Canis lupus familiaris: one gene and its partners. Each later gene encodes a partner of the first gene's protein in a complex. Links are inferred from orthologs where the notes say so. Each region holds a gene or a part of one and is shown on either strand. Other genes may lie near its edges.

Region 1 (2,606 bases):
ACCAGAGTCATTAAGTATACTTTATTCACCCCTAGGACAGCTTCCCCTCCGGCAGCATAGACGGCGGTGTGCATGAGGATGAAATGCCACCCCTGACAGCAAAGGGAAATCACAGGCAAAAAAAGTAGGGTTGAAAAAAGTCAAGATAGGGGCACCTGGCTGGCTCAGTTGCAAGAGCAGGTGACTCTTGATCTCAGGGATGGGAGTTTGAGCCCCACATCAGGTAGAGATGACTTATATAAATCAAATTACAAACTCAAGAGGAAGAGATGCAATCTGAGCCCAGAAGTCCACGACTTGTCAGACACAGGCACCCTCGAGGTCAACCACAACTCAGCACTTGCTGGTCTAAGGACATATTACCTCTAAGAACTGCTTGAGGCGTATGAAGGAACCCATTTGTCCTGAGCTTGTGATGGCTTCAATCCTGCAGGGAGAGGAAGAAGACACACAAATCACAACTGTGATTCCTACCTCCCTCCTGGAGAGGAGTTCGGGACGCTGCTGATCCAGAGGAAGGATTAGGTGGAATGACTCGAAGAGATGACTTCTGGGCTCAGGATGCTGTCATTCGTCCAAATGATCTCAGCTGCCTACTCAAACCAGGAGATAAAGGAGAACAGAGGACATTCCTTTCCAAGGTCTTTGCAGGCAGGCAGGATGGGTGCTGCTAAAACCTCTCCCTCGGCTGAAATGCCAGTGTGTTGAAAGGAATGAGAAGGGCACCTAAAGGCAAACACCATGGGTCAAGCCAACTGGTTTGTTTGTAAATCAGTTTCTCCAACTGATTTATTTTATTTTATTTTATTTTTTTTCCAACTGATTTATTAAGGGAGTTTTAACTCCTTGGTTAATTCATGATTGCGTGTGGTCACCATTCCAGATCAGCTGAGGGAGTTTGGAAAATAGTTAAATGTCAGGTATCTGAATCCAGGATCTTCCTAATTTAGCTTTTTCATTTAGCTAATAGTATTTAAGATACTCTCACTACAATTCTAAAATCAAAGAGAAGGATGAGAGATGTCACACTTGATATAGGTGCATTTAGCTGAGTCAAACCCAGCATGTAACTGCACCCAAGGGCATCTGACACTGTATGTTTCACCCACTGAATCCCATGCTGTCTATTCAATAAGCCACATACCTGGGGAAGTAGTCTTCTTTGATGAGAAGGATCATCTTCCAGAACTGTACCTGGTACTGCTTCATGAGGGCATTCCCACACACCTACAGGGAAGGACAGGCATGGTCAGAGCAGAGGATGCACATTTATACACATGCCAGAGATCTGTAAAGCACATCGGCTCTTTGCTTTTCACTCCTACCAAGAATTTCAGCCACAATACCACTTAGCACCTTACCTAAGCAAGGGAATAAATGGAAAGATCCAACTTTTTTCTGAAGCATTTCTCTGTATATGACAATATCTCCATTAAATCAACCACCAAGAAACCAAGTATTTTAGCAAACTAGAAAATATGAATCAAACTTTATTATTATTCTTTGATTCTACTGAATGGAAACTTTTCTAAAGTAATGGTGTTCCTCCCAACCATAGTAAGCAGAGCATATAGAACATCACCATGTTCTCAAGTTTATTCATGATCTCTGCTCACATCCTGTGACTTCAGGAACTCTAAGATGAATGGAAATGTTTGGCATTCTAGGCTCAATGGCCCACATCCATTACAGTATGTGCACCAGGGCTTTAATTTTTAAGAAATGTCTCCTTTCCACAGAAACCCTTACCGTCACCCCTATAGTGGTGGCCCCTCATAGGCAGACAGAACTATAAGGAATCTTCTGGATAAGGGAGAAACCTGACCCAAGCTGGCTGATCATATTTGCTCTGCCAGGTATGAGGGATCACAAAGATGGGACGGTAGTCCCACTACACTGGGCAACCACACTGAGGCAGAGGGCTATAGCCCAGGATGACTATCTGCTCCACTGTGCACAGAGAACCAGAGAAAGCTGGCCTATGGAGCAAGAATGAGGCATCCCTGCAGGAAGGGCACAGGAAGGGCACAGGAAGGACTATGTGGCCCCAGAGAGACTCTTGGTGCCTGGTAACATTCTAGTTCCTGATTCCAGGCCCACATGAGAGTCAACTACACATCCTGCCTTTGGTTCTGGGAGTCACTTCTCTATCCCTAAAACAAACGTCCCTTTTTGCTTGTGCTGGAATGTACGGTTTTTTTCTTTGTTACAATGAGAAGACAAGCACACAGAGAAGGAAAGCACAGTAGGAAGAAAAACCAAAAGCTAGGTGTGTCTTTAGCATTTGGGAAAAAAAAATGTGTGACACTGAATCCTAATGCTGTTCACCATCAGCCTGTCTCTATATTGCTTCCTGATTCAGGTCACACCATGGCCAAAGGCTGCTTCAACCACTGTCTCGTGTGATAACTGCATTACTTACCTCCAAGAAGTCAAAGAGGAGGGTGGCTGTCACATCTGACAGGGGCTCCATGTTTAAGATTTGTGCCAACCAGCGCCAACCATGACTTAAGCCATGAGGATGAATCTGGGAGGGGAGACACTTGGTCATGATTTGATCATTGGATCTAGGGATCTAAACCCCCAAAGTTAATCTCCAGCCATTA
Region 2 (4,055 bases), on another chromosome or scaffold:
TATGCAAAACAATGGTTCTCTCTGAGTGATAGGATCATGGGTACTTTTTCTTGTCTTTGCTTATTCTGATTTTTTAATAATGTATTACTTTTCTTAAAGAAAATATTGTAGGTATTTTTGAAAAAAGAGCAAATGGGTAGTAATTTTTTCTAAAGACTTTCACTTACAGAAGTTTCTTTTCATCTTTCTGCCCATCAGAACTGGGTGAAGCAAATGGGTTCTGGGACAATCCAAACCCCCTGTTCCTGCTAGTTGAAGCTCCAGAATCCAAGGAACCAAAAGATGGCTTTTCTTGATCTCTGCTGCCCCCCCATGGTGTTGATTTGGAGAAGCTGGATGGCTGAATAACGCTGGAATATCTTTGGCTGGTGGTATTCCATCCACGTCTGTTACTACCTGAAAATAAACGATAAAATAATTTTATTGGCAACTTCTCTTTTAAGTCTCAAAAATTTTCATTATATTGTCTTATTATGTGCAGACATGATGCAAAGATTCAACAAGCACCATACTTCCACTCATTTTAAATCACAAAACTCTTCATTTTTGATTTATATAGTTACTTGTAACCAGCAAATCAAGTAATGGTCTAATGGTATTTTTTGTTTAACAAGATTGAGAGGACTGTAAACCCATCGAAAAATAATGATATATTACTAAGTTCAGTGATATAAGTTTATTAAGTAAACAACTGCTTGATAGTGGGTTTAGGATGTAACCTAAGTCATAAGCTCCTTCAGGATAAAAAGCTGTCTTTACCATTCTTTGCTTTCCCACTAGGCCCTATATAGCAGTAAAGGCTGAAAAATGGACAATGTATTAAAGAGTTGCTGGACATAAAAAATTAGATTCCACCCTCTGTCCTTGAATAGATGCTTAAATCTAGTTGATTCAATCTTCTCTCAGGGAAAACACTTACCCACCTATCTTTCATAGAGAGATTGTAATTTACACATGAATAAAATGCACTCAGTTCTTCTATTATGAGCAGATTCTAATATTTCATAATTATCACAATGAGCCAACAGGACTCTCTCCTCTCTATTTAAAAAAATCTTATCACTTAAACTACCTCATTTACTCATCACTCCCTAGTTGGGGCCAAGATAATTTGCCTTGTTTCTGACTAAATTAGGAGACACTCCATTAGATTATATTAAGAACTAGAATGATGGGAGATATACTCCTTCATGAAAGTTCATCTCCCAACTCTACAACTACCTAACAAGAAAACAGATCCCTCGTGTGAGGGTCAATGGTATTTTATTTTTCTTAAGTTCCAAATCCTTTGAAGAAATTCATAGCTTTTGGCCTTCACTGATTAATTATAGAACATTCGTTTCTGGGAGATAAATACTGTTTACTTGATGAGTTTTATCTATGCTTTCTTCATCCATCAATCCCATTCAATATTTATTTTCTAATTACTACGTCTAGAGTGAGTCTCTATAGAGTGCCAAGTATTAAGCAGCCCCTTCCCAGGAAATACACGCACAATGATCAGACCCCAAATCCTAAAAAAAGAAAAAAAAAAATTTGCTTTGGAACATTTCACGAGGTGAAGTGTGGGTGATGCAAAAACGACTGTCTTTCAAGAAGAGGCATCGGAGGTGAAATCACACTGCAACATAGATTATGGGTCAGATGGACAATCCTGAAAGAGGGAAGGGAAGAGAGTGGGGTCAGCATCTTGTGACAACTTTAAGGACTTAAGCTTCGATCCTAAACAAAGAAAAACCTGACTGTTCATCTGACCTTTAAAACTTTGTATAAACAAACAAACAAACAAATAAAACCTTGTGTTGGTTTCATTTCTGGTTCCTCCTCTCCTTGAGCACAATCCTTCCGCATCATGCACAACTGGCTTAAATACTCCAAAACCTCTGACGATGACTCAGACCCAGCAGGTGGGTCCACACGGTCCTCCGACACCCCCTTCCCTCACAGCCCAGAGTTCTTAACTGGGGCAACACACTCTTCCGATTTTACCTTCAATGTTACGAGCACGTACATTCGCCAGAGCAAGAGCTTTGTAGCTGACATCACACGTTCAAAGGAGTCTGCGACTTCCCCAAAGCCAAGAATCCAGACTTTGGCCCCCAGCTGCGAGCCTCTCTCTCTCGGGAAAAGTTTCGTAAAAATTATACTTAGAGTGTCAAGGGTGAAGAAAAAAACAACAAGCACCCAGAAGGTGGGGTTTAGGTAAAGCGAGGCGGCGTCTGGGTCGACCTAGACCAGTTCTCCGGACCTTTACCACCCACAGACAAGGCAGTTACGACACGTACTTCCAACTTAGAAACTCATGGTTTCGCATTAGTACCAAAGGCCAAGACTCTGTCTTCATCCCCACGGCAGAAATCAGCGGGACGCCCACACAGCGGGTAGCGGCGCCGGGGAGAGCCTGCGCCGGGCCCGGGGGGCGGGGCCGAAGGCCGGACGACGCGGGCACGTCAGCGTCACTCGACTGCTGCGCCGCCGCCGCGCTGCGCCGAGCGGGCCCCACGCCGGACGCCCGTTCTCCGCCCGACGGCCCTGGCGCCAGGCCTTCCCCCGCTCCGCTAGCGGCGGCGGATGGAGGAGAACGTCACCTGAGGGCTGTTGCTGCCGTCCTCCGCCCGCACCCCCGGCGCCGGGATGTTCGTTCCAGCACCGGTCTCCAAAGCGGCACCGGCCTTGAAGGAAGAACTGACAAATGGTCATTGCGACGGCGTCGCCCACGGAACGGTCTTCTGTCAGCACCCAGAGCGGACGGAGAGCCCGAAGCAACCGAAGGTCCCTCCCCGCTGCCGTGACGTCATCTTCTCGCGCCCTTTCGTCTCTCTTGCCCGGCCCCGGGATGAGAGGCGTGGATTTTGCCCAATAGGGTTTGAGAAGAGCGGGGCGGCCCCTGCCCTCGGGTCGAGCTTGGGAAAGCTGAATGCTCCGAGAGTTAGCGTGGCTGCGGATTTCGAGGGCGGCTTGAGGGTGCGAGGTGATAGGGAAGCGAGTTAAGGGAACTGCGGTCTTCAGCGGGGACCTGGAGGGGAGGGATAGCTGTGGCTTGAGAGACCCGAGTTGTGTATTTCGTTTGCACCGTTGAGAAAGCAGAGATCTGCGCAGCCACTCATCAGGCGGGAAACAGGAAACACCGGTTAGAGGGCAAACGGAAAACTGTTTCCTTTAAGGGCAGACTGCAACTGAAAAGTATCCTCACAGCCCCACCTTTGGATGAACACTGCAATTCTTACGCTCTTAGAAAGCCAGTTCTTTAAGGGTCAGGTGCGCGCTGCTGTTTGAAATTGTATCAAAGAGAATGAAACATTCTCACTCTCGGCCGGAGGAACGAAGTCACTTGGACACCGGGAAGCAGCTTCGACTTGTGCCCAGGTGCAGAGCTTCCGATCAGGCGGCGTTCCTGAAGGGGGCATTCCTTATTTTTCTTGAATTGGTAATTTCCGAGGAAACACGGTCCTACCTCCACTTCTCAGTCCAGATCCGAGGTTGATGCCTTCACCCACAGCTCAGCTTTGCTTTGAGCTTATCATTTTACCTAAGCTCATGCCCACAAGTCTTAGGTACCTAAGCTCATGCCCACAAGTCTTCGTTGTCTTTTTTTTTTTTTTTTCCTTTGTACGGTGAGACACCCTACGGGTTCTTCTGGTTCGCGGTCTCTGTGGTTTCCCAGAGGCAACAAATAGGACTTTGGTGGATCACAGGTTTGTTCCTGCTGGTTTAGGATGATTGGTCATTGTTCTTGCTCACATCTTCGGATTTTGGATACACTGGAATCCACAGGAGCACTGGGAATAACTGCTAAAATGTAAAGTTCTTATTTAAGTAATCTCTAAGCCCCAGGTGGGGCTGGAACTCCCCATCCTGAGATCCAGTTGCATGCCCTTCTGACTGAGCCAACCAAGGTGCCCTGACCTAGTTTATTAAAAAACGAAAACAGCCATGTGGGGCACCTGGCTGGCTCAGGCAGTAGAGCATGCAACTCTTGATCTCAGGGTGGTGAGTTCAGGATCCACGCTGGGTGTAGAACTTACTTAAGAAATTAAAAAAAAAAAATTCGCTTA
Region 3 (4,144 bases), on another chromosome or scaffold:
AGAGCCCCTCACTAGGAGCAGCTGTTAGCAGTTTTGTGTGTATCTCATACATTTTCTATAGTACCTACAAACACATGAGAGGTTTTTTTTTTTTTTTTTTTTATCTCCTCACAAGTGGATCCTACTATATACAGTATTGCACTTTGGATGATTTCCTTTTTAACCGCATTAAACTTAAAAAAAAAAAAAAGTCTTTAGCCTTCATTAGCCCTGTGATCAATATAACTTTGCTGGCAAGATATTCCCAGGGCTGCTTCCGATATGAGATGTAGGTCACGGCTTCCCTCACTGTGTGTTTGCCTTTTTCTTTTTGCACGTCCTTCCTGTAGGTTCCAAAAAATAAAAAAATCTTCACCAAATTAATTCCCTCAAGAGTACAGGAGAAAAAGAGCCATGGCAAATAAAGTATTGCCTGGAACTGCTTTACCTTTCCTGAACTTTCTTACTCATATTCTGAAGTAAAATCCCACATAGAGCCCACTACTGCTTAAAATTAATTTGCTGAAGAAAAGTGGCAAAGAGAAGTGAGGATTCATCTTCTCACCTTGCAGGAAAATGCCCAGCTTCTTATCAGTGAAGTAACAAGGGGAGAGAACCTTGTTTGTTTTCAGTTAGGGGATAGCGGGTGTCAGACATTATTATTTTACCTCTTCTAAAAATCCAAGGTATTTTTTTCCTTTTAAAAAAATTCCCCCAATCACACAACTCTTACATGGAAGCACTAGGGATTCCATTCCAGGCACAGCTAACTCCAAAAGTCCTGTCAGATTCGCGATGTTCCCTGGAATGAATTCATTTGCTCATTAAGCTGCTTTGCATGGCCCATTGCCTCTACCTCCAATCTCTTCATCTCTGGTTCTTGTCAATCCCCGCAGGAACTGTGTCCTTCAGACACAGGCCTCCTGGCCTTTTCTCTCCTCTCCCTGGAACACATTTCCCTAGCACCTTCCTTGAGTATTTTTGAAAGTGAAATTCCTGCAAGTCGTGTTGCCGACATAGTCTGCAGGACAAACTTTTAACCAAATGGTGCTTGACATGGCTGATTGCCAACCCCTGGGCATTGAAATGACTGTCCTGAAGAGAAAAAGATCGTCTCAATACGCATTTTGGTGACGCCTGTATTAGTAAAGGTCCTGTGTTTTGATAGATTGGCTCTCTATGAGCTTCTGTGCCAGCGCGCTCGTGGCCTGGAGGTCCAGTTGGCAGTCTGCGTCTCTGTTCACCAGGTAGACAGAGCTAAGCAAGGGTCAGCGCCGGGGGTCCGAAAGCGACGGAAGCTGCAGCTCCCGGGGGGCGAGGGGCGGCTGGGCGGGCGCAGATCCGACGTCACTGCGGCGCGCCGCTTCCGGTCCCCAGCTCCCGAGCGAATGACTGCTCCCTCGGTGGGGCGGGAGCTGGGCTTGCTGCGACGCCAGGGAGCCCACGATCGCGCCGCCCCAGCCAGCGAGTCTGCCAGCACCAGCGTCCCGCCGGCGCCTGGGACCATGGCCACCGACTCGTGGGCCCTGGCGGTGGACGAACAGGAGGCGGCGGCTGAGTCGGTGAGTTGGCTTCAGGCGTAAATGGGTCAGGGGGTCAGTTTTGGCCGGGGATCACCCTTGTGTAGGACACTCGCTGCTTTGGCCAGGACGGTATAGGATGCGTGTGAGGCTGGAGCCTGAACCTTGAGCTGGCTTTGTTTATCCATCCGCCTCCTGGGTTACATAAGAGCAGGTGAGTGCTCCCATGGATCTAGCGCCCAGCCGCCTGTCTTCTGGAATCCAGACTGATCGAGATTGCGCTCTCCCCACTTGGATTATAATCTCCCTGTGTCATTCCCTACCTCTGGATTGTGAGCTTCCTGAGCTCTGGGATTGTGGCTTACTCATCTTTGTGTGCTTCCTTACTTGCTTACTGATGATGAATGAACGACTCCATTGGCCCGGTAGTCAGTAAATCCTCTTCTCTGATCACCTTAATTTTGTTCTGGGCTTAGTACACAGTAAGCAAGATATGACTTAAACATGACTATGTGGAATTAACTCCTTCCACCTAAACACTTTGAACCTACTTCTGTTAGTACTTCTGTGAATTTCTTGAGAATAAGGACTCTTTCTTATTTTTTATACAACTGATAATAAATTATATGCACATAATTCAAAGAGTCAAGTAGTTTTGAAAACTGGTTCCACCACCACCAATTTTTCCTTCCCAGAGAAAAACTAATAGTTCTCTTGAAACGGATATACATCATTGACCTCCTTGTTCTCTAAATCACAGGGTTTTGCTAGTTCTTGAATTTTCAATTTTAGGTATTTACTGATTTTAATTCTTTCCTCCATCCTTTCTCCACCACACACGCACACCTTCCCATTCCTTACCTTTTCATTATATTGTAATTTTAGTTAGATCAGTATTTCATGTTTATCTTATTAGTAGCTTATGATACTTTTACTTTCCTATAAAGTTTTGTTTTTCCTTGGAATTTATAAAAAACACGCTTCATGGTTTTTTTTGTACTTATCACCAGTTCAACCTCAGGCACTTTGCTAATTGTTTAGTTTATCTCAGGATGTTCAGACAAATTAAGTATTCTATTAATTCGGGGGGCCTGGGTGGCTTAGTCAGTTAACCAACTGACTCTTGATTTCAGTTCAGGTCACAATCTTGAGGTGGTAAGATCCAGCCCCATGTGGGGGTCCGTGCTCAGTGTGTAGTTTGCTTAAGATTCTCTCTCTGGCCCCTCCCACTGTTTCATAAATAAACAAAAAAACTTATTATTTTTAAAGATTTTATTTCTTATTCATGAGAGATACAGGGAGAGAGGCAGAGACATAGGGAGAGGGAGAAGCAGTCTCCCCACGGGAGCCCAATGCAGGACCCGATCCCAGCACCCTGGGATCATGCTCAACTACTGAGCCACCCAGGCGTCCCTAGAATCTTTAATTTTTATTATTATTTTTTAAAGATTTTGTTTGTTTATTCATGAGAGACGGGGGAGGGAGGGTCGGTGCAGAGACACAAGCAGAGGGAGAAGCAGGCTCCATGCAGAGAGCCTGACATGGGACTCGATCCTGGGTCTCCAGGATCATGCCCTGGGCTGAAGGCAGTGCTAAACCACTGGGCCACCTCGGCTGCCTAAGAATTTATTTATTTATTTATTTATTTTTAGAATCTTTAATTTAAAAAAAAAAGTCTATTAATTCTATTTCCCCCAGGTCTTTTAGCCTACTTCATACTGGACTAGTTCTCCCTAGGTTTAGAGCAGAACTCATTTCAAGGACTGGAGAGGAACAAGACAGATTTCCCTTCACCTTCATTCTGAAGATTCACTCCTCTTCTCTTGTACTGGATCCCCTCCTTTCTGTATCCTCTCTTCATCTTTCTTGATTTTGTGCAACCATCCATCCAGCTTTCTGGAGTATATAAGAAGTTTTTTAAAGATAATATTGCATTTCTGGAAATAATTATTTTGCTCTATCATTTGGATAGTGGTATGGCTCGGTCTAGAGCTGCAGGTTGGGAATTAATTGCCTACCAAATTTTAAAGGCATTGTCTCATTGCCTTTTAGACTTCTTTATTGGTTATTGAGATGTCTGAGACCATTCTGATTCCTGATGTGACCTGTTTTCTCATTTGTAATCCATAAGAATCTTTTTTTTTTTTTTTTTTTTTTAATTTATGATAGGCACACAGTGAGAGAGAGAGAGAGAGGCAGAGACACAGGCAGAGGGAGAAGCAGGCTCCATGCACCGGGAGCCTGACGTGGGATTCGATCCCAGATCTCCAGGATCGCGCCCTGGGCCAAAGGCAGGCGCTAAACCGCTGCGCCACCCAGGGATCCCATAATCCATAAGAATCTTCTATTTGTTTCCAGTACACAGAAAACTCATGATAATGAGTCCTGGTATAGGTCTGTTTTCATCCACTTTGCTGGGCACTGGGTAGGTCCTTTCTTTTCTTTCAATTTTATTTTTAAGTAATCTCTACAACCAATGTGGAGCTCAAATCCACAACCCTGAGATCAAGAGTTGCATACTCTTCTGACTGAGCCAGCCAGGCATTCCTGGGTGGGTCCTTTCAATCTGGAAAATTCTTGTCCTTAAGTTATGAGAAATTTTCTTGAAAAATTTCATTATTGATTTCTCCTCCTCTGTTTTCTCT

What was found. The genes of interacting proteins can lie anywhere in the genome.
Region 2: the proteins of GLE1 (region 1) and NUP42 are in contact, whole or in part, in a crystal structure (PDB 6B4I), measured with the Homo sapiens proteins. The link is inferred for Canis lupus familiaris from reciprocal best matches to the Homo sapiens genes GLE1 and NUP42. Residues at the interface, in NP_001003722.1 of Homo sapiens: Ile385, Ile593, Leu598, Asn599, Trp602, Arg603, Ala606, Gln607, Leu609, Asn610, Gln636, Tyr637, Gln638, Val639, Gln640, Lys643, Met644, Ile646, Leu647, Glu650, Asp651, Tyr652; in NP_001357375.1 of Homo sapiens: Asp185, Asn186, Val187, Leu188, Phe189, Gln202, Phe203, Gln204, Ser205, Lys206, Lys207, Phe208, Leu210, Gly211, Lys212, Ile213, Pro214, Leu215, Lys216, Pro217, Pro218, Leu222, Leu223, Asn224, Val225.
Region 3: the proteins of GLE1 (region 1) and DDX19B are in contact, whole or in part, in a crystal structure (PDB 6B4J), measured with the Homo sapiens proteins. The link is inferred for Canis lupus familiaris from reciprocal best matches to the Homo sapiens genes GLE1 and DDX19B. Residues at the interface, in NP_001003722.1 of Homo sapiens: Lys416, Lys419, Met420, Gln423, Lys424, Thr427, Ile428, Ser431, Gln432, Ile433, Ser434, Thr435, Ile436, Lys440, Gln458, Ser459, Gly460, Lys479, Lys483, Lys486, Gln487, Glu490, Glu491, Ser494, His495, Gln554, Gln562, Asn565; in NP_009173.1 of Homo sapiens: Cys325, Asn326, Tyr328, Gly329, Ala330, Ile331, Thr332, Ile333, Ala334, Glu356, Gly357, His358, Gln359, Arg378, Arg380, Glu381, Gly382, Lys383, Glu384, Lys385, Glu400, Gln401, Ser403, Phe433, Gly434, Lys435, Arg436, Asp469, Asp470, Leu471.

Annotation. Positions count from the first base shown.
Region 1 is NC_049230.1:55,113,850-55,116,455, forward strand, and holds part of GLE1 (nucleoporin GLE1), read right to left. Parts: intron 2,528-2,606; coding exon 2,423-2,527; intron 1,228-2,422; coding exon 1,145-1,227; intron 727-1,144; exon of another isoform or gene 475-726; intron 428-474; coding exon 364-427; intron 1-363. UniProt on the Homo sapiens protein: Required for the export of mRNAs containing poly(A) tails from the nucleus into the cytoplasm. May be involved in the terminal step of the mRNA transport through the nuclear pore complex (NPC).
Region 2 is NC_049235.1:36,944,648-36,948,702, reverse strand, and holds the start of NUP42 (nucleoporin NUP42), read right to left. Parts: upstream 2,801-4,055; 5' UTR 2,701-2,800; coding exon 2,589-2,700; intron 2,440-2,588; exon of another isoform or gene 2,286-2,439; intron 2,280-2,285; exon of another isoform or gene 2,044-2,279; coding exon of another isoform or gene 1,990-2,043; intron 397-1,989; coding exon 168-396; intron 1-167.
Region 3 is NC_049226.1:76,889,228-76,893,371, forward strand, and holds the start of DDX19B (ATP-dependent RNA helicase DDX19B), read left to right. Parts: upstream 1-1,344; 5' UTR 1,345-1,367; coding exon 1,368-1,541; intron 1,542-4,144. UniProt on the Homo sapiens protein: ATP-dependent RNA helicase involved in mRNA export from the nucleus.